4 linked regions of the Xenopus tropicalis genome follow. The protein of the gene in region 4 purifies or fractionates together with the protein of the main gene of each other region. This does not show direct contact. Links are inferred from orthologs where the notes say so. Each region holds a gene or a part of one and is shown on either strand. Other genes may lie near its edges.

Evidence for each region.
Region 1: the proteins of eef1a2 (region 4) and eef1g purify together in Homo sapiens (affinity purification with mass spectrometry; 4 studies listed by BioGRID and IntAct, counting the BioPlex papers as one, with this or other methods). This does not show direct contact. The link is inferred for Xenopus tropicalis from reciprocal best matches to the Homo sapiens genes EEF1A2 and EEF1G.
Region 2: the proteins of eef1a2 (region 4) and vars1 purify together in Homo sapiens (co-immunoprecipitation; 3 studies listed by BioGRID and IntAct, counting the BioPlex papers as one, with this or other methods). This does not show direct contact. The link is inferred for Xenopus tropicalis from reciprocal best matches to the Homo sapiens genes EEF1A2 and VARS1.
Region 3: the proteins of eef1a2 (region 4) and eef1b2 purify together in Homo sapiens (co-immunoprecipitation; 4 studies listed by BioGRID and IntAct, counting the BioPlex papers as one, with this or other methods). This does not show direct contact. The link is inferred for Xenopus tropicalis from reciprocal best matches to the Homo sapiens genes EEF1A2 and EEF1B2.

What each region holds. Positions count from the first base shown.
Region 1 is NC_030680.2:36,801,427-36,806,846, reverse strand, and holds part of eef1g (elongation factor 1-gamma), read left to right. Parts: intron 1-157; 5' UTR 158-283; intron 284-803; coding exon of another isoform or gene 804-928; coding exon 929-946; intron 947-2,038; coding exon 2,039-2,182; intron 2,183-2,546; coding exon 2,547-2,676; intron 2,677-3,276; coding exon 3,277-3,484; intron 3,485-3,619; coding exon 3,620-3,792; intron 3,793-5,420. UniProt on the Homo sapiens protein: Probably plays a role in anchoring the complex to other cellular components.
Region 2 is NC_030684.2:75,070,535-75,075,459, forward strand, and holds the end of vars1 (valine--tRNA ligase), read right to left. Parts: intron 2,765-4,925; coding exon 2,589-2,764; intron 1,780-2,588; coding exon 1,630-1,779; intron 1,299-1,629; coding exon 1,230-1,298; 3' UTR 1,117-1,229; downstream 1-1,116. Other genes in the region: vwa7 (von Willebrand factor A domain-containing protein 7), read right to left, coding at 184-205. UniProt on the Homo sapiens protein: Catalyzes the attachment of valine to tRNA(Val).
Region 3 is NC_030685.2:50,703,584-50,709,661, reverse strand, and holds eef1b2 (elongation factor 1-beta), read right to left. Parts: upstream 4,215-6,078; 5' UTR 4,169-4,214; coding exon 4,089-4,168; intron 3,525-4,088; coding exon 3,402-3,524; intron 2,283-3,401; coding exon 2,147-2,282; intron 1,628-2,146; coding exon 1,561-1,627; intron 948-1,560; coding exon 822-947; intron 553-821; coding exon 398-552; 3' UTR 334-397; downstream 1-333. UniProt on the Homo sapiens protein: Catalytic subunit of the guanine nucleotide exchange factor (GEF) (eEF1B subcomplex) of the eukaryotic elongation factor 1 complex (eEF1).
Region 4 is NC_030686.2:2,000,928-2,007,057, reverse strand, and holds the start of eef1a2 (elongation factor Tu, mitochondrial), read right to left. Parts: upstream 4,107-6,130; 5' UTR 4,072-4,106; coding exon 3,928-4,071; intron 1,836-3,927; coding exon 1,656-1,835; intron 1,496-1,655; coding exon 1,199-1,495; intron 1-1,198. UniProt on the Homo sapiens protein: Translation elongation factor that catalyzes the GTP-dependent binding of aminoacyl-tRNA (aa-tRNA) to the A-site of ribosomes during the elongation phase of protein synthesis.

The sequences.
Region 1 (5,420 bases), on a different chromosome or scaffold from region 4:
TAAGGTGGAATTATAAACATAAGCAGTATTCCTGTGAAAGGTTATTAAAAAAAAAAAAAACTTATGGATAGCTGGCCATTCAAACAGCAGCTGCAAAGCTGAAATCATAAAATAGCAACCTGGCAAATTATACCTTAATCTCTTCATATTTTTATAGGCATTCCTTGTGGCGGAATGCATAGAATTGCACTACAAGACAAATGCTGACTTGGAGTCTCAGATTTAAATTGGAGAGCATGTGAGCTCTGAGATGAGCTGTGAATCTTTATCATTCTACATCAAGGTTATCCATTTCTTTTTGTCCCTCTTTCTGTGTGTCTCGGGCTCCTGCAGACTGGGTATAATGAAAGTCCACTCTTAGGGTGAAGACACACTGGGCTACTAGTAGCAGCTACTTTTTTTTTATGACTACTAAACTCCAGAAAATACCCTGCCATAGACAATACTGAGAATTGCCTCTGCTAAAACACATGTAGAGGCAATTATCTGTAAATGATCAGCATTCTCTTTTTTAGTAGTCACGGCAAGTAGCTGCTACTAGTAGCTCTGTGTGTTCTCACCCTAAAGCTGGCCATACATGCACCGATAATATCGTATGAAACCTCGTTGAAATCCTATTGTTTCTTCCTCCACATCTGCCATTTCACCCCTGAATGTTAGTGGCGGATTGGAACGATCGCACAAAAGATCAAAAATCGCCACGTGTGTGGCCACCTTTAGACTTGTCACATATGTCTCATACTTTCTCTGACTTGGTGTTAATAGGAAACCTAATTCTCACCTCTCACATATTTCTCTGACAGTGGGCAATGATGAGCTCCGAGGAACCAATCGTTTACACCAAGCTCAGGTCATCCAGTGGGTCAGCTTCTCAGACAGTCACATTGTCCCTCCGGCCAGCGCATGGGTCTTTCCCACTCTGGGGATCATGCAATACAATAAGCAGGTAAGAAGGGTTCATTATTCTGCTTTATTTTCTTTGGTTAACTACACACTGCTGCGTGCTTATCTGCTAAATTATTTATTCATCTAACAATGGCCTTTCCTTTTCTACTTTGTGCTGCGTCGAGATGAATTATGAAATACTTTGCTTTACAAATACTTCAAGCACCCATAATGTTTGGGGTCAGTAGGACCCTTTAGGGTGACCAGATTGCTTGAAAATTCAGGGACGTGTAATGAAGAGAAAAAATAAATCCAGCTAGCAGGGCTGAACTGATTTGAAATACAATTCCTGCGACATGTACTAGATGTGTCCTTGAATTTTCAAGTGATTGGGTCACCCTACTTTTTGCCGCAGCCATAGCTTTAGATGAAGTAAACACGAGGCAGTTGTCAGAGATGGATGAACTGCCTGATCCAAGATCGATATGGGTTTAACAAGATTTAACTGTTTTAAATTGAAAGATTACCTTAAAAAGTGTGTGTATATCTCTGCCCCACCCTTATTTAGTGAATGTTATGGTTATATGTATCTTTCGGTTTATTGAATGGTGTGAAGTGATCTGTGCAGTTAGCTGGAAAATAGCAGCTTGCTTAAGGGCTGTGACACACGGGTAGATAAGTCACGGGTGACAAAACTCCCCAAAATGCCATCCCACCGGCTAGAATGTAAATCGTCGGTGGGATGGCATATGCGGCGGTGTGATTTGCGGAAGTTGCCAGAGTTTCCTCTCAAGGCGACTTCTGCGAATCACGCTTGATGCTTATGCCATCCCACCGGCGATTTACATTCTAGCCGGTGGGATGGCATTTTGGGGAGGTTTTCTGTGCAGCGACTAATCTCTCTGTGTCACAACCCTAACTAATTCCCCCTGGTTGGCATAATGGCGGATTCTAGTCTTCCTGGCTACTTTTTAGTACACGACTGTTTGTTATCTCAACAACCCTCTTGGATAGGGTTTTTTTTGTTAGAAGGTAGTAAGCCTCAGAAGCAAAAATAATTGAAGATTGAAGAAAATAATAGACCATTTTACCTCAATTTCTGTCCTTTTAAAACTGGCCATTTGGGATTATGGCTCTTTCTGTATATTTCTAGGCCACAGAACAAGCCAAGGAGGAGATAAAGGCTGTGCTGGGTGTTTTAGATTCTCATCTGAAGACACGGACATTCCTAGTGGGCGAGAGGGTCACGCTGGCTGATATAGCAGTTACTTGCTCTCTTCTGTGGCTCTATAAGCAGGTCTGACACTTTAATTTTTATCTGTTTCTCCTTTGTCTTTTATTCCTCCTAACTGTATTCCTGTTGTGAATTTGTAGCCTCCTTTAGCCATATACTTCACTATATTACTGTTTATAATAAAGATCCATTATACCTGTTCTGGTATACCAGTTCTTCATCATTTATTGGATTTCCCACACTCAGAATACATAAACACTGAAGTTTTTTTTTTTTTAATTTTTTTTCTATTCTAACTTTCTGTATAATAATCCTCGCCATTTACCCCATTTCATGTATCTACATCCCCATATTTTCACACTCATTTCTGTCAGCCTTTGTAGCACTTCTTTTTAGTGTCCATATATTAATTTCTATTTATCCATAGGTCCTGGAACCATCCTTCCGCCAGCCATTTGGTAATGTTACAAGGTGGTTTGTGACCTGTGTGAATCAGCCAGAATTCCGTGCTGTGTTGGGAGAAGTCAAGCTTTGTGACAAGATGGCACAGTTTGATGGTGAGCCTGAACATCCTATAAAATTCTCTTTTCTATCCCATTACCCTATTACCCTGTGCCTACACAGCAGCTTTGTTTCTGAAACACTGGTATAGTTTATATAAACAAACACACAACTTTTACCTGTGCAGAACAGTGTTTTTGAATTACTTTAAGAAATAATTTTTTTGGTGTTACTGGTCCTGCAAGGCAGGTTTGGTCTGTTTTGCGCTAAATCATTCTTGTACTGAGTAGCTCTTATGGTCAGCAAAACCGATTAATTTGATTTAGAGCTCAACTATAAACAAATTGTCTGGGCTGTATATAGGGCCAGGGTCTTTGTATTTATGAATACTTCCAGGATTGGAATGAACAGTATTCTGTATAAAGCATCATCTTCAGAATGTCATTTTTATAAACAAAATGTAGCGCAGTCTGTAACGGGGCTAAATATATACAAGCCATTTTTACAGGTGGTGGTCTACTTTTGATAGGGATGTTAGGTTAACTTATTGTATTTGCTATGTAAAATAATTTTTAGCAAAATGGCAATTCAAACTATTTCACATTGTATGGTGGTGTTTCTGCCAGGCTGAGAGTGTTATTTTTAATTTTCTGTAGCTAAGAAGTTTGCCGAGATGCAGCCCAAGAAAGAAACTCCCAAGAAAGAGAAGCCAGCAAAGGAGCCAAAAAAAGAAAAGGAGGAAAAGAAGAAGGCAACACCAGCTCCTGCTCCTGCCCCAGCCCCTGAGGATGATATGGATGAATCTGAAAAGGCTTTAGCAGCAGAGCCTAAATCAAAGGACCCATACGCACATCTACCTAAAAGGTAAGATCATTGAGCAATTGATGTAATTGTTGTCATCAGACTCTACAACACTACATCCCAATCTTAAGTGACCAGTTATAATCTTTCACTGTCATAGACCTTTATCGTCTTACAAGTCTTCATTTTCCCATGCAGCTCTTTTGTAATGGATGAGTTTAAGAGAAAATACTCTAATGAAGATACCCTGGCTGTAGCTCTGCCTTATTTCTGGGAGCACTTTGACAAGGAAGGCTGGTCCATCTGGTACGCTGAATACAAATTCCCCGAGGAGCTGACACAAACCTTCATGAGCTGCAACTTAATTACAGGTAAGAGGTAAATGTATGCATACACGGTGCTGCCTTGAAAAGCACTGATACAAGTAATGGCATGTAGTTAGGCAAAGGCTGGTAGTTTTCAGGGGATTAAACAAACACTTTGATGTAAAAATGTTATAAAGACGCTAGTGCCCCTGGTCTGTAAGCAGTACTATACTTGCTAGTAGTAGTCCTTAAATAGAACTCAGTCATAAATATTTCAAGGCTTGTGCATTTGTACATCTGGCAGCTATATAATTTTATATAACCCTAATTAAAACCATTCAGTGCCTTAATGCAAGCAAACCTTTAAATGTACATTGTCACCAGTTAGATCCAACAAATAAGTCATGGGCAATGTTCTCTATAAGCTGTGCGTGCACACAAATTTTGGGGACAGTGCACACAAGATTATTGTGGTGCGCACACAGAATTTTTTGTGAGAATACAATATTCTGCATTCTTTTCTGAATACGGTAGCAGCTACTGTTGTGGCTACAGAAATAGACAATGCTGATCATTGACTGATAATTGCCTCTACATGTGTGTTAGCAGAGTCAGTTCTCAGGATTGTCTATGGCAGGGTATTTTCTGGTGTTTAGCAGCCGTGAAAAAGTAGCTGCTACTAGTAGCTCTGTGTGTCTTCACCCTAATAATTGAACCCTCTCTGCCCCCTTAAGTTGCCAGTGCCTACACATTAGTTGTGCTGCCGATGGCAAATTTCTATGGTTGGCATTCAGGTTTTTTTCAACTACAGTGGAACAGACTGTAGTCAAGTAGACAAGTGGACTAATAGTCCAAGTTAAGCATGATGATCAAACATGTGCTAATATTACAGTACTGTGACATAACTTGCTAGAAATGAGCCTGATTACTCCTATGTGGATAAGCTAGTGATCATGGGGAATTTAAGGCTGGCCAATCAGATTTAATGTACATTAAGTCTAACCTGCAGAACAGGTATAGAAAATTTGCTGGGGCTCACTTATCAACACTGGGCAAAGTTGCAGTAACCCATGGCAACCAAAGTTTCGCTTTCACTGTTTAATTAAGAAAAAACTTATGGGTTGCTATAGGTTTACTGTCCAGGTGCAAATTAGCCATTGTGGGGAAAATAAGTACTGTAGGGGGGATTAAACACATTCTGTGGAGGGTACTTATGCTCAGGGGTATTTATGCTTTTAACAAATCTCTTACTAGGTGTTATAGAAGAGTTTCAAAGGCCATACAGCAGTTATGTTTATGGGGTTTTTTTCATCTCTATTCTAATACAATTCAGTGAGACCATGCTGCATATCCTCAGATTTACCCATTGAATTTAACAAAGTTGAGGCTAATGTGGGCTCCTGTTAAATGTTGGGTGTATTATCTGGATTGTAGGCAAAAATAAAGTATATTTTTAATAGTGTACTGGGTATTGTTTTGGCCAAGTACTATGTGGAGGGAGAGGGGGGGGTACAATTGTGCCAGACCCTGTAAAATCATCTTCAGTAAGGGGGACCAGTTGTATTATGAAATTTACACAACTTGCATAAGTTACACAATTTACTACAAAAGCTGCTTAGAAAACGATGTAACTTGCCTCGAAACTTAAGTAACTTTTGTATCAAGCAAAAGACAATGCAGAGAAGCTTTTCACG
Region 2 (4,925 bases), on a different chromosome or scaffold from region 4:
CACATATCTATAGTGATATTGTTGGAACAAACCTAAGCTCTTCTTAAATTATGTTACAAGAATTAGGCAATTTGCTCCTATTTGTTACACAAAGGAACATGCACATACAGCTTGCAGTCACACAGATTACACAAAACAATTTTTTCACACTCTTTAATCATTCATACACTTTGCAAGATATACCTTTCAATTCACATTTCCCCATATTAACCACTTATCTGCCAGACAAGGGAGCGAATCTTACACATTACCCCCTGCCCATCTGCACCGGCAGTTCTCCGCGTTTCCTAAAGGGACGGCGTCTCCTTACACGGCTTATCTCCCCCCCAATAACCACTTCTCATTGTTATCAGTCAAAACAACTGCGAGATCCACCCTCCACTCTTAAAGGGCTACACACGCTAAATGAGGTGTTTCTATTGGGAAGTACAGCTACTTAATATGTGGTTTTACTCATTGGTTTATGATAAAAGCAGAAATGACATAAATGGGAAGTGAAGATAGACAGGGTAACTTTTTCCAATGTTAAAGGCAATCACCGACTTAATATTAAGGATGTACAGTAGTAAACTAGCCATGTATATGCATTGGGAAATAGAAGTTGCACAAAAGCACCCATTTCTAAGTTCCTTTGCAGCTTTGTATGAACCAGTGTGCTCCTTTGTCCTACTCATTGCGTGCCTCTCTTTTGTGTGAATGTGTGTGTGTGAGAGAGGTCACGAGTTCTTTGTGTCCCCACAATACCACATAGCAGGGGAGGAGCGTGAGAAAGAAAAAGCTCCCTCTAATAACTGAGAAATCTCCATGCCCTCTGTGAGTCCCAATGCAGCATTGGTTGACAAAAAATATAAAAATCAGTCAACTGCTTCCTACCCAGATAAATACCCTGGGTTTAAAAAAATCATGAAAGGCAACACTATAGCAAATCTGCATTGGCTCCTTTTTCCACCCAACATTGTCCCCCTCTAAGTCATATGTATTGCTCTTTCCTCTTTAGCTCCCCTAATCCCTTCTTATTCTTTCTTCCCCAATTCCTGTGTAATTATTGCAAATTCCATGTATTTAGCTTTCCATTGTGTCTTTCCTCTGATGCCCACAATAATATCACACCACACCTTGTTTCCACTGTCTTTTATTATATCGGGTTGCAAGACCAGCCACATTTAAAAATACATCTCCTTAAAGCAGCAATGAGGTGAATGAAAGGGTCCAAGGTGCCAATGAAAGCCCTACACCATTTTCTGAAAGTTCTCTGCAGCCTCATTCACCTTCTTGAACTCTGTCTCAGTCTGTCTGATCTGGAATAGGGATCCGGAAATAAATCAAATAAAAAGACACGGAGGAAAAGAGAAAGAAAAAAAATCCAGAAAATCAAACATCTAAAAGACATGGAGTGGGAATAAAAACCTACCCCCCCCACCCCCACCATTTATCACACTCCAAAATTTCTACACATTCTAAAAAAAGCAATATTGCTTTTATCGCTAAAATTTGTAATATCCCTAAAATCACTTCTTTAGCGAGGCAAACTTTTAAATCAAGGAATATATCAAATAAAAAAAAGATAATGTTAGGATGGATTTAACCTTCACAGCACACCCATCAGTAAATAGTAGCAATTTGTTTTACCCGCTCTGCATCTTGTTGCTGCACTGTTTCGGGCACTTTGCTGCGGTAATCTGCACTGCCCATCCTCTCACGCAGCTTCTCTAGCTGTCTGCCCAATTCAGTCTTCTTAACTTGCAGTTTGGCCAGCTCCTTCTCTACATCTATTAGGCCCTGTGAAGAGAATTTATATTTAAGTGACAGCAAAATATATGCTTGTGCAAGACAGAAAACTATGTGAGCATCACAAACATGAGAGTGAAAGTCATGTAAAGTGGTTACCTCTTTCTATAGAATCACGCAGTGTGTGTAATAACTGAGCAAATGGATCAGTGTTATATGTATGCAGGTGTCCCACTGGTAAGTATTCTTTTTCACATTATATTCTACATTATATTCTACTACTACTACTATATTTTCCTACTAACCGGCCTCCCAGACTCCCACCTCTCTCCCCTGCAATTAATCTTAAACTCTGCTGCCAGGATCCTCCTGCTCTCTCCTAAGAGGGAACCTGCTTAGCCTCACTTCACATCCACACCCACTGCGCTCTCTCGTCTTAAACCTTTCTATCTTCCTGCTCCTTACCTCTGGAACTCTATCCCTGAAGGATAGAAAACACTCACTAACTCTCTTTGAGAAAAAACTCAGCTGTTACCTTCTGGAGCACTTAAACATTATTTTGCCCAGTCCTGCGCTTAATGGCAAATGCCCATACCTAGTTGCACTCTTCCCTTTCAATTTGTGCCTGTATGTTACCCAACCACTTAGTCTGTAAGCTCTACAAGACAGGGCCCTCCTACTGTTTCTCATACCACATGACACTTATTCTCTGTGTATTTATACTTATTTATTGTATTTATTATAACACTTGTCCTCCCTGTGTGTAATTTTGTATATTGTAACATTGTACAGCACTGCGTACCCATGTGGTGCTTTATAAAGAAAGTTATACATACATATTCTATAAGTAATAGGTTTACCTTGAGCACCACATACACAGTAGCTTTATCTGATGCAGTATTAACAGCGCTTCCGGCTGGAGCAGGATCCTGAGCCTTCAGAGTAACCAGAGAGCGTGAGGAAGAGAGGACCGTGATGAATGAAGTGTAAGCAGTAACCACAGAAACGGTGTCAGCATCTTGACATTGAACGAAACCTAGAACACAAAGCATAATATTTTTTTCCACCCGACAAATGGGTATATTTAACTTTTTAACTTATAAAACCTCACTCAGTTTTTTAGCATATAACCAGCATATAGCATAGAAACTTTTTCTAAAGTTCTGTTTTGTCCTTTTTTCCCCACATAAAGGAAATATTAGGAACACTATATTGACCAGTTATGGATTAAGCACTATCTGTCTGGTTTTGCCTATACAGCAGAGCCTTGGCATACTTGTAAATTTGCCTGCACCAGATGAAAGGCATTCTTCTTCTTTCTGAATATAATTCTGAAACACACATAACTTCCAGCAATCTGGATATTATTATTTCCTATGAGCCAATCAGAAGAAAAAAAAAAAAATTTTTTGCACTGGTTACCCAAAAGTAAAAATATATAAGGGGTAATAAATGGTCATACTTTAAACTTTCTGATTGTCTAATCTGATTGGTTGCTTTGTGTTACTACATGTGGGCAAAGTTAATCGCTTTCTAAATCCAATGGTCTTACCCCTCTCAGCTTTCCCACTGTGACATACCAAATGCTCCAAAGTAACAAGGGCCCACAAAATATAAGGCTGCTTAGGAAACCACACCTGACAGAACTTTGCAGCCCAGGCTTTCAAAACAAAAGATATTGAAGATTTAAATCTGCAATGAGCATTGGGAGACGTTTAAGGGGTCCTGTATATCTTACATGGCCCTTGGGTACCCAACCTAGGCTTAGGCCCAGGGCAGGCTCTCCTGTCCCTTCTGGAGATACTGGTGGGCAACAGACTGTAAGGGAGCTACCAGACATAAGGTAAAAACCATAAAGGGAGTCAGAACAGTGAAACTCTTAAGACTTGCTAGTGTAAATCTTTAGTGCTCTAACAGGATGCAAAATATGAAGAGACCTGGGGTTTTTTTTGTTGGGGGGTGGGGGGGTTAGGGAAGAATTTTGAGGAAAATCTGTCAAATTGAGGAAAATATGGAAACAACGTTTTACAGTTTTCAGCACTCAATTTTGGATCCCAAATCAATCTTCAGATAAGTTCTCCAAACGCTGTTGTAGAGGTGGGAGGCAGAAATCCATAAGAACACAGCACAGATAATTAATGAAAATTATTGCTCCTCTCAGGTGGACTGAAGATCAATGTGTCAAAATACACTGGTTAAGTCCTGAAGGAGGACTGGACCCCGAGACAGAAGGTTGGGCCAGTTCAACAGGATGACAGCAGAAAAACAGACCCTTGTTCACATGTAAAATACAGGGACTTTGGGGTTTGCAATATGGCCCTATCTCTGGGTATCAACTCATTGTGGAAAGACCATTTGCATAAGTCCAGAGTCTACATCTATAAAGGTGACATCCACATTCTGCACCTATAATAGATACACTCTCATCACCACATTCACATGCTCTCTGCCTCCTACAAAGCAAGATGTCTCTTTATTCCTTGCTGGTGAATCTAATACACTGCCATGGTGGCACTGTCAGTGTGTATCACAAGGCAGCTTTGCCATACAGTACAATAGTCAACTGGGATGGTTTCCAAAAGACTGTCACTGTAGCTCCAGAATGTGACTAGCAGGGACTTGCATCTTTTGACCAGGTCCTTTGGACTTGAAGATAACCAAAAAGCTACCCACTGCTGACAAACTGTCAGTATTTCCTTTAAAGGAATACTGTCATGGCAAAACATGTTTTTTCAAAATGCACCTGTTAATAGTGCTTCTCCAGCTGAAGTCTGCATTGAAATCTGTTTTTCAAAAACACAAACAGATTTTGTTATATTTCATTTTGAAATTTCACATGGACTTTACTGCTGAGCTGCAAGTTGGGGTGATATCACCCCCCTCCCAGCAGCTGATCAGCAGAACTATGGGGATGTAGCAAGATAACAGCTCCTAGTAGATATCAGAATAGCACTCAATAGTAAGAAATCCAAGGTCCGGCTTGGGACTCCTTCAGTTACATGGGAGTTGGAGAAACAAGGTTACCTGAAAGCAGTTCTAATATGTAGCGCTGGCTCTTTCTGAAAGCTCAGACTCGGGCACAATGCACTGAGATGGCTTCCTATACTCCTATATTACAACAAAACATTAATTTCAAGAATAAAAATTTAAATTGTAGATTGTAATTGTAGAGTGAAAAATAAAAATCAGTATCCCTT
Region 3 (6,078 bases), on a different chromosome or scaffold from region 4:
CATATTGGAAAGTTGCTTAGAACAAGGTTTTTTTTTTTGGTAAAAATGTTTGGGGTTGACATGCCCTTAAATAAAAACTAAGTTTCCACATGCATACCACAAGTCAAAAACTTGTTACAATTAGCCAAGAGTGCTTTTGTGGACTTCAGAGCAACAATGGACACCAAGTTATGACCCATTAGAGATCATCTTCTACATCCAGACAACCATCCACAGTGGATTGAAACACATTGATGCCTATTTGGCATACTTTAATCCTACAGAGGCAAGATAGATTGAATGCGTGCAACTTTGTTGCAAGGAAAGCAGCCACAATACAAAGTGAACACCAACTTCACATTAAGCAAATGTTTTTATTTGAAGTGCTGTAAAAGTATGGGGGCTTCATGAAATCAGTTTAGATCTTGTTGAAAGCAGCAACATCCATGGATTGCACAAAGTCTTCAAATGCAGTGATGTTCTCCTCTAAAACATCTGTGCCAACTTTGTCATCTTCAACCACACACTGGATCTGCAGCTTTTTAATGCCATATCCAACAGGAACAAGCTTTGCTGCAGAAGGAATAGAACAATTGAGATAACAGATGACGGTTGATAAAGCCATTAAATGTGCATTTTAAATCAAGTCTACTTGCTACATATTGTCAGAATGTAAAGACTTGTACATTCAGTAAACACATACCTTTACAGTGTTTAAATAAAAGGCAGTCAGAATAAAAATACATCCATCATTAGCATCAGTCGAAAGATGGTGATATTTTAATCATCATTACAGTTAAGGTGAAGATATTCTTTAGACTACCTACAAAATATAAACTTACATGCTCCCCACACCAAGCCTTCCATCTGTATACTTCTGACACACTCTTCTAGCTTGGCCATATCCGTTTCATCATCCCATGGCTTCACATCAAGAAGAATGGATGATTTGGCAATAAGTGCTGGTTCTAAAGAAACAAATTGGTTAAGATTTAATCACCTTTGGAGAATTTGAAGATTGTGAAGAAGTGTAAATTAGATTATGTCCGCAAGTAAAGGACTAGTAATATATAAACTGAATACACATTCTAACAGCCTTAAGCCACACATTCAGACTACCCCAAAATCCCACAAAATAAAAGCACAAGTAAAATTCTAGTGGGAAAGTCAAGTGTTACACCTTTCTAAGTCACAAACCATAGCCACTGCCTTGCTGAACATACTATAACAATACTATATGGCATTTTTTACACTAAGGTTTACACCATATAGTTTGTAGACAGTGGTACAGAATAAAACAGAACCATGTTTGAAATACAGCCAAGTCCTCCCAGACTGAGAGGAAATAAAGCTGCAAAACATTTTAATGTGCCACAGGAGGAATGCTGGAACTGCCACATAGTAATACAGCTCCAGACCAGTATCTGTGGCAAGTATTTCCATTCCACAAAAAAAAAAAAAAAAAAAGGAACTGAAGACCAGTATGTAAACAGGTAGTGATTGCACTTTGCTTTTCTTAAGGCAAAACAATTAAAAACATATGCCTTAAGGAGAATAAACACTCGGGAGAAGGCCACTTACTTTTAGACTTCTTTGCTTCATACTGTGCTAAGCGTTCTTCGCGGACCCTCTTTGATTCTTCATTTTCCTATGAAATAGAAAAACTTAAGATTCTGCACAATAGCAAGTTTTTTTTTTGTTTTTTTAAGTTAACAGGCTGGTGTAGTCAGTTTAGAAGACAATATGCATCACAAATCAGCCGAAAGATGGTGATTTAGCTCATTCATCACATGACCAGCCTGAATATAGTACAGCCAAATTTGTGTTTTACACAACTCCCTTCACATGTTTAGAACCTTAGTAACCAACAGCAAACACTGCTTCAGGTATGTGGCCATAGTAGTGTGCCTTGGGCATGTAATATAATGAATTTGTGGTTACAGTGGAGCACAATTAAAGCATGCACGCATTTTTGCTACGTTCATTGTCCACAAGGAGACTACATGAAACACAGCAAACTCTCTTTACATTTCAGTCTGTAGAACAGCATGTTAAAAAAAAAAAAAAAAAAATTATGGACACAGCTGTACAGCCAGTGTAATTTATTCTGCACCTTATGCTTCTTAGGTCTAATTTTATTACATCTAAAGATTGTTACACATCCCACCTCTTCATCATCTGAACCAAACAAGTCAATGTCATCATCATCATCCTCTTCCTTGGTATCTTTTGCTGTACTGCCTGTAGTATCTTCTATGTTAACAGGGCCATAGTTTCCCAGAGGCTTCTTCACACCAGGCAGGCTAGGAAAAAAAAAAAAAAAAAAAAAAAAAAAAAACTACTTTACAAAGGAGAAATATACTTCTAGGCTATTTGCATTAGCAGCTGCTTAGAGGTGAGTCACAAGGAATATACAGTTATCTAGAATTACATACAACTTTAGAGAACAAATTACAATAGAGAACAAATTACAATACTGACATCTTAACTGCAAATGACTGCAAGCTGGCCCAAATATGGGTAGCCACGCTACTATTTGACGAGGCTCCTCTGCATGTCTGACTGGGCATTCTGTGTGCTCAGCTAGCATCAATTAAGCCAAGAGAATGCAATTCTGTCCTACTGTCAAAGAGAACACTTCAGGTTAACATTTAGTATGTTATAGAACAGCCTATTCTTAGCAACTTTTCAGTTGGTTTTCATTTTTATGGTGTATAGTTTTTTTGCCTTTTTTCTTCAGACTCTTTCCAGATTTCAAATGAGGGGGGGTGGTCACTGACCTCAGAATCCAAAAATCTGTTGCTCTGTGAAGCTGTTTTTTTTTGTACTTATCTTTCTATTTAGGGCCTCCTATATTGAATTTTCCATCTTTCAAACTACTGGCTAGTTGCCTAGGTTAAATTGGACCCTAGCAACCAGATATGTGAAACTGGACAGCGGTTTAACAAAAAAACAATCATTCAAACACCAAAATAAAAAAAAAAAAAAAGTTGTCTCAAAATTGTACAGTATACTAAAATTTAACATAAGGGTGAACAACTCCTTTAAAATACTTCATAGACCACAAAAATGATACACATTCATGATCCATGTTAATTAGAATTGTGCCCATTTACATTCTACAGCAGGCCAACAGTACTATCAAAGCTTATGTATGTTGCAGCCACTTTCTGGCTGCATGAGCACTACAGCCATAGGCAGTGATTTTTCAGCTGGATGTTAACCAATAAACCGAATTAAAAAAAAAAAAAATCTGATTCAGATTAGATAAGTATAGTAGTGAACGTGCTTCAAAGTGCTGTAGAACAGCTCAACCTAAAACAAAGAATATTGTATTCAGCACAGTATCATATTTTTTCAACCATGCTCCTTTATCAATCACTGCTGTGAAAGCAATAGCTATACTTTATCATACTGCTTACCTACTTTTCTGCTTTTCATAAGACTTGATGTGGTTGTACCAACGCAGAGCATGGAAAAGGTCAGCAGGGGGCGCACCAGAGAGGGCATCAAATACTGCAACATCAGCCTGGGAAGGGACATATCTGAAAAGGGTGGGGGTAAATATACAATTAGCAGCATAACCACTAAACATAATATAGTACAGTAGAAAAAACTGTATAAATAGTGTCCAAACATTTGTTTCCTATAAACATTATCCAAGTTTTAAGGCTATTTGCACATTTAGTTACACTGAACAGTTTATATAATTTTCCGTTCTCTGACATAGTGCAGTTTAAGCAGCTGGCTTCTGCTACATCGGCTCAGCAGTCGTAGCCAGCAGTGCCGAAAGTGTAGAAATCCAGACCTATTCTGCTTTTAATACAAATTACATTTACAAATGATTCCAAGAAACACTTAATTATTAACATTAGAAAGAATACATAACTAAAGCACAAGGCACAATTAACCAGGCAGCCTTTACATATTACATCACTTGGGATTTTGTGACACGTTTACGGCACTGCAGCTAAAAGAATTCAGGAGTCAGGCAGCAGGAGGTTGCGGCCTAGGACCACGCGTTGGAAGCCAACACGTTCATTCATATTACACATTCCTTGTCCTTTCGAACATTAGCACAACTATAATATAGCATTTACCACACTGACCCCTCGATGTAGCTCTTGTCGGCCAGGAACTCATTCAGGACCTTAAGGCCTGCAGGGGATTTGAGATCGCCGAAACCCATTACAGCAATTCACTCAAGAAGCCTAGCACACACGGGTAAAGAAAAGAACTTGCAGGCCGGGTAGATGCCTTTTATAGACAGGGGGCGGGGCTACGAGGGGCGGGCTAAGCCTTCCTTAAAGACTCACTATGTAACATGTACATCATTTCAAGTTTATATTTTTTTTTATCCGCACCCTTTCGGCAAAGTATTACTTACTGGAGACCATATCTTCGTTTTCCGACTGCAGAAATATTTGGGATTGCATGTGTTGCCGCTTATCACGGAGATAGCCGATGTTAAGTCGATCCGGAAACTGCCTGTGCCGAAGACTAACGATGTTGCGTTCGCAACATTTCGGAAACGAAGTTTCTCCGAGTCTCGTTCGTCATTTTTGCCGGACTTTGTCGATCTCTAGTCTTTGCCTGTGCGGAAGTTACCGAAGCTTTCTCAGTTACGTATAATTCTTACCATCTTCCGTGGCTTGTTCCGGAGGTTGCTTAAATCCGCCATATTGGTCAAGGGTGCCGGCCAGGGCTGTTCTGGTCTAGAAGGCCAAATATTCCCAGAGCTGTTTAGGGGAGTCGGTGGGGTGAGTGGTTTGGAAATGGCAATTCTTTGTAATGTTTTGCATAACCGATGCGGTAACCCTGCGTTACGGTGTAATGGTGTTGGCTGTGTGTCTAGCAAGGTAGTAGGTCACTCTTGTGCCCTTGACAGATGTAGTTTAGTTCGGTAGGACTTGGACTCTTCTATTATTCGCTAAAGATTTCCAGACTCCATCCCTTCCTATACTAGCAAACCCGCGGGCTACAGCGTTCCATAGTCTGTGCATGGGTGCGCGTCTTTACTCAGAGCTCTGCTGGGATTCAGTAATGCGCTTCTCTCCTTGCACATCCTCTAACCTCTTAGTTATTGCACATTGCGCGAAAATTACACATGCAATTGGTTGCGCTGGTTAAGTCGTTACTCAGCAAATAGGGAATATTGTAATATTGATTAAAATTAGTTTTTATGACCTGGCTTGTGGCTCAATGGCTATGGCAGATTTTTTTTTTTTTTTTTTTGTGGGGTGGGATAAAGTATAATACAGGTATGGGACCTGTTATCCAGAATGCTTGGAACCTGGGGTTTTCCCGATAAGGGATCTGTCTGGAATTTGGAACACCATACCTTGAAGGGCACCCTGTCACCCTGAAAAATGTTTCCCCAAGGACAGTTGCAAGCTAATAGAGCCAGCATTCTGTTTGGGAAAAACAATTTTTTGGTGTGTGTCAGCCGCACTAGCCCACACACACTGGGAGAGAGCTTTTGGTGAAGGCTGTCATGTTCTATAGCAGGCATCCCCAACCTTTTATACCCATGAGTCACATTCAAATGGAAAAAGTGTTGGGGAGCAACACAAGTATGGAAAAAGTTCCTGGGGGTGCAAACAAGAGCTATAATTGGCTGTTTGGTTGCACCCTATATGGATTGGCAGCCTATAGAAGGCTCTGTTTGGCTTTACACTGGGTTTTATGCAACCAAAACCTACCTCCAAGCCAGAAATGCAAAAATAAGCTCTTACTTTGAGGACCCTGGGAGCAACATGTTTCTTATGAACCACTGGTTGGGATCACTGTTCTATAGCGTGCATAAAAAGCCAGTCTCCTCACATGCTCATTATCATCTGACATTAATTGCGAATTGCAATTTATGTCACATACCTGTGCATAATGAGCGAGATGTTGCTCTCGCTCATCCTTTTGCATGTGCCCCAACATAGCCACCCACACCAAAAGCTTCCTACTGGTGCAGGCAGCCTAGTGCTGGTGGGGGCTATTTATTATTATTTTTTTTTAAACTATTGTTTCCCCCAACTGGAGTGCAGGCTCCATTAGCCTGCACCACTGGTGGGGGAAACAATTTCAGGGTGACAGGTGTATCTGTAA
Region 4 (6,130 bases):
AACCTGCACAAAGGTACTACAGGTGAGCAAGACCCAATAAAACAATAACAGATTCAAGGATTACCAATCGCTGATCATAGTGATTGCATATCTACAGCTTTAGCATTGGAAACATCTACATAACCCAAATTCTATTTTGCCTTGAAGCCAACAGAAACTTTATCTGACCAATCAGGTCCCACTATGTCAGAATTTGAAAAACAACCCTCTTATCTTTAGCCAATCACCAGCCAGTTCCACAACACCAACTATTAGTCTGAAACTGTTCTTAGTCTTTGTGCCATTGGTCAATAATATCCCAATTATGGCTTTAGCTCTATCATTCTGGTGGCCTCATATCCCACCAGAGTCTTGGTCTCCAGTAAACAACACGGAGAGATACAAAATGGCCACTAAGGTAATAAAGAGAATGTAGAATCTCAGCTATGAAGAAGAACTGGCTGATTTAGGACTAGTCAATGGAGGAGAGAAGATATGATCACCATGTATATAACTCTTTGATGCTTTATTTACTAGAAGATCCTTCTATAGATCAAGGCTGTCTGACTGGAGGCCCACGGGCCAAATGTGGCCGTCAAAGAATTTTTATGGCCCCCAGTCTGCTCAGAGACTCCATAGACTTCACTATATGACATATAACTGGCCCACTACATGTAATGAGCTGGAAAGCACTGTTCGTAAAGAATCCAGAGGACAATGGGGAATCTTCTGACATCAGAATAATGAAGGTTCCACCTTTAGGTTCTGAAAAGATTTTTTTCCTAGATATGGCAGATACTATAGAAAGTCTCAAGAAAGAGTCGAGCGCTTGATTAGCGTTTGAGAAAATACTTTGGATATGAGCATTCATACTCATATAATCATACTCATTGCAGTAGGTTGAGTGTTCTAAGGGAATGTTTCCCTTCTGAGGGATCCTCTGGATCTATAAGACCAAAGGCTTATACTTTATGAATGGATCTATTCTCAAACATGACTGTTCCTGTGTTGTTATGATGACATGAAGGTTTTCCAGTCCCTGGACTCACCAAACATCACTTGTATGTTCTCCTATTAGTTGTGTTATCTCTATAACGTTCCACCATTACATTCATGGTCTCTACATACCTCAACCATCACCGGCCTAAGACCTAGTCAAACCAAACCTATGGCAGATTCATTCATTATTCCCTTCCTTCATGAACAAGACTCCACTTACATTGGGAGAGGGCTCCAACATGTTATCTCCATGCCAGCCAGAAATGGGTACGAAGGGAACTGTAGCTGGGTTGTAGCCAATCTTCTTGATGTAGGCGCTGACCTCCTTGACGATCTCATCATAACGTTTCTCGCTGTAGGGAGGCTCGGTGGAGTCCATTTTATTGATTCCCACGATGAGCTGTTTGACTCCGAGGGTGTAAGCCAGGAGGGCATGTTCACGGGTCTGTCCATTCTTGGAGATGCCAGCTTCAAACTCACCCACTCCGGCTGCCACTATCAGCACTGCACAGTCTGCCTGGGAATGAGGAGAGGGAGAGAAGTGAGTAATGTGGCACCAGAGATGGTCTCACCTCCCCCAACAGGGAAAACCCTTCTCTACGATATTTGGTGGAACTTGAGTACCTTCCACTGGAACCTTGGTAAGGGCCTCTCCTCCTCCTCAATCTCTCTCTTACCTGAGAGGTTCCAGTGATCATATTCTTGATGAAGTCTCGATGTCCGGGGGCATCAATGATGGTGATGTAATATTTGTTTGTCTCAAACTTCCAAAGGGAGATATCAATGGTGATTCCTCGCTCCCTCTCAGCCTTCAGCTTGTCCAAAACCCAAGCGTACTTGAAGGAACCTTTCCCCATCTAGAAAAGAAGAACACATGCGTGAAGGCTTAATAAATGTTGGACTTCCAGTTTCTCTATGGTCGGTTTTATACCTGAACGTTAAGACAGTTCTGGTGGCCACCTACATATGGGTTTTGATGAGAAACTTGAGTGGACATCAGCTTGACTAGGACGGTCACCAATAGAATATAATAAACATAACAGTTGTACAGTAACGGGAGGACAATGAAAATATCACCAACCTAATGTTTAGTCAATGGGGGAAGTTGAGTCTGACCTACTGAGACAATGTAGCAGCAACTGTATTCTACTTACATCTGGTTGTTGGGACTGAAGCAATGTAGCGGTAACCCTATCTCCACTAGGTGGCACTTAGCTCTGACTGTCAACAGCAACATCAACAGTATTACTATTGCCTTATTAACTGTGGTACGAAGCAAACCATGATGTATGTGCAGGTCAGCAGGATCAGTAGCCTACATGCATCTGCACTTTTCTATCTGAAGGTTGGCTTCCCCTTTAATAGTATTAACCAATGTTCTCCCTGTACAGAAGGTGGAGCTGGCATGGGCTGCACACAACTGACAGTCCGTGCATTTACCCTGAATATTTAAGGCCAAGGGGACACATTCCAGCATGAAGGAGGCCAGTAAGACATGAAGGAGGCCAGTAGGACATCTCCCAGACAATCTCCATTTCTCGGGCGGAGAGGACAGCTTGCCCTCTGTACGAGCACACAAAATGGAGTCTGCCAGCTCGCAGCAGCAGCTATAATTAAACCCTGGCAGAGTCTCTCTCTCTCTCTCTGAGGTCTCCGCTCGCAGCTGATCTCGGATATCATTGGGACTCGTCCTGCTGTTGAACAACACAAAGCTCTGAGAGAAGCCTCCAGGGAATTCATGATAGAGCGTTACTGTTGGAAAGGGAATCAGACACCTCCCAAATTCACCCCCTGAAAAGAACAATGAAGACTTTTATGGACTCCGCATACACAATGTATTTCTTTCCATCCGGGAGGGGGTGCCCCAAAGTATTGTGACATCATCAGTGTCCCCACTGGGCCCTCTGTGCTCCCCACCCCCAGTCATGGACTTCTCCTCCCATTATCAGATCCATTCTACGTTCCATACATTGCACATTACACATTACACAAGCAAGAAACTCACCAATGGAAAGAAACAAGGATCATTCAAGGTTACCCCCGGCAACCCATCAGCAGTTAGCTTTACAAAATTTAGTGCAGTTATTCAAATAAAACGAAAAATATGATTGGTCCTTTATGATTTCTGCACCAAGAAAGTCCCAATGGTATAACTAAAGGCTTACAGCTTACTACAGGTATGGGATCTGTTATCCAGAATGCTTGGGACCTGGGGTATTCCGGATAAGGGGTCTTTCTGTAATTTGGATCTCCTACCTTAAGTCTACTAAAAAATAATTTAAACAGTAATTAAACCCAACAGGATTGTTTGGGCTCCAATAAGGGGTAATTATATCTTAGTTGGGATCAAGTACAGGTACTGTTTTATTATTACAGAGAAAAGGGAATCATTTAACCATTAAATAAACCCAATAGGGCTGTTCTGCCCCAATAAGGGGTAATTATATCTTAGTTGGGATCAAGTACAGGTACTGTTTTATTATTACAGAGAAAAGGGAATCAGTTTTAAAAATTAGAATTATTTGCTTATAATGGAGTCTATGGGAGATGGCCTTTCCATAATGCGGAACTTTCTGGATAATGGGTTTCCGGATAAGGGGTCCTGTATTAGGGCAGGGGGACTTTGCACCGGACATCCTTCCCCTCATACAACCAATGCCATTGGGGCAGGAGGCCCTGGTGTATTGCCCTGCCCCCTGGTACTTACATCACAGTTTGGACCTTCATATTGCAACGTTGGGCAAATATTGACTTGAGATCTACAGTGAGGAAATGATCCCAGAGTTGTGATATCTGGTTGCCATATTAAGAACAGAACTACCCAACTCCAGACTCCGTATGCCGCCAACCAATGGATTTTATTGCCCCCCCCCCATACAACATATCTGTATGATGTCACAATTGGGGGTACGCATGGTTGTGAAGAAGACAGGGGACCACTGTGCTCACCTCGGCCGCTTCCTTCTCAAACTTCTCTATCGTCCTTTTGTCGATGCCCCCGCACTTGTAGATCAGGTGGCCGGTGGTTGTGGACTTGCCAGAGTCCACGTGGCCAATGACCACGATGTTGATGTGTGTCTTCTCTTTCCCCATCCTCCTGGGGTGACACTAGCGAGAGTGCAAGGAAGTCTGGGGGGACAGAATGGAAAGAACATGAGGGAACAGTTGGTTGGATGGAGGCCCAGTTAGATACAAAAGCACCAAGGTACCCAGCTGGGGCAATGGGGCAACTGCAGGTTGAGTTAGCTTTTAGTATGATGTAGAGAGTGACATTCTGAGACAATTTGCAATTGGTCTTCATTTTCTATTATTTGTAGTTTTTTAGTTTTTTCATTTTCAGTTCAGCAGCTCCCCAGTTTGGAGTTTCAGCAGCTATCTGGTTGCTAGGGTCCAAGTTACCTTAGCAACCAGGGAGGGGTTTGGATGAGAGACTGGGATATGAATAGGGGAGGGGCTGAATAGAAAGATAAGGAATAAAAAGTAACAATAACAATAAAACTGGAGCCTCACAGAGCAATAGGGTTTGGCTGCCGGGGTCAGTGACCCCCATTTGAAAGCTGCAAAGAGTCTGAAGAGGAAGGGAAATAATTCACAAACTATAAAAAGTACTTAATGAAGACCAATTGCAAAGTTGCTAGGGAAAGGCCATTCTGTGTGTATGTGTGTCAGTGTGTGTGTGTATCAGTGTGTGTGTGTGTCAGTGTGTGTGTGTATCAGTGTGTGTGTGTGTGTCAGTGTGTGTGTGTGTGTATATATATATGTGTGTGTGTGTGTATATATATATATATATGTGTGTGTGTGTGTGTCACTGTGTGTGTATATCAGTGTGTGTGTATCAATGTGTGTGTGTCAGTGTGTGTCACTGTGTGTGTATATCAGTGTGTGTGTGTGTGTGTGTGTGTCAGTGTGTGTATCAGTGTGTGTGTGTGTATCAGTGTGTGTGTGTGTATCAGTGTGTGTGTGTGTGTGTGTGTGTGTGTATCAGTGTGTGTGTGTGTATCAGTGTGTGTGTGTGTGTGTCAGTGTGTGTGTGTGTATATATATGTGTGTGTGTGTGTGTGTCACTGTGTGTGTGTGTGTGTGTGTGTGTATATCAGTGTGTGTGTGTTTGTGTGTGTGTACCAGTGTGTGTGTCAGTGTGTGTGTATCAGTGTGTGTATCAGTGTGTGTGTGTGTGTGTGTGTGTCAGTGTGTGTGTGTGTATCAGTGTGTGTGTGTGTGTATCAGTGTGTGTGTGTGTGTGTGTGTGTGTATCAGTGTGTGTGTGTGTGTGTGTGTGTCAGTGTGTGTGTGTGTGTATCAGTGTGTGTGTGTGTGTCAGTGTGTGTGTGTGTGTGTATATATATATATGTGTGTGTGTGTGTGTGTGTGTGTGTGTGTGTGTGTGTGTGTGTGTGTGTCACTGTGTGTGTGTGTGTGTGTGTGTGTATATCAGTGTGTGTGTGTGTGTGTGTGTTTGTGTGTGTGTACCAGTGTGTGTGTCAGTGTGTGTGTGTGTGTGTGTGTGTGTGTGTGTATCAGTGTGTGTGTGTGTGTGTGTGTATCAGTGTGTGTGGTGTGTGTGTATCAGTGTGTGTGTGTATCAGTGTGTGTGTGTGTGTGTGTATCAGTGTGTGTGTGTGTGTGTATCAGTGTGTGTGTGTCACTGTGTGTGTATCAGTGTGTGTGTGTGTGTGTGTATCAGTGTGTGTGTGTCACTGTGTGTGTATCAGTGTGTGTGTGTGTGTGTGTCAGTGTGTGTGTGTATATCAGTGTGTGTGTGTGTGTGTGTCAGTGTGTGTGTGTGTGTCAGTGTGTGTGTGTGTGTCAGTGTGTGTGTGTGTGTGTGTGTATCAGTGTGTGTGTATCAGTGTGTGTGTGTGTGTGTCTGTCAGTGTGTGTGTGTGTATATCAGTGTGTGTGTCAGTGTGTGTGTGTCAGTGTGTGTGTGTGTGTGTGTGTCAGTGTGTGTGTGTCAGTGTGTGTGTGTGTGTGTCAGTGTGTGTGTGTGTCAGTGTGTGTGTGTGTGTGTGTATATCAGTGTGTGTGTATCAGTGTGTGTGTGTGTGTGTGTATCAGTGTGTGTGTGTCACTGTGTGTGTATCAGTGTGTGTGTGTGTGTGTGTGTGTGTGTCAGTGTGTGTGTCAGTGTGTGTCAGTGTGTGTGTGTGTG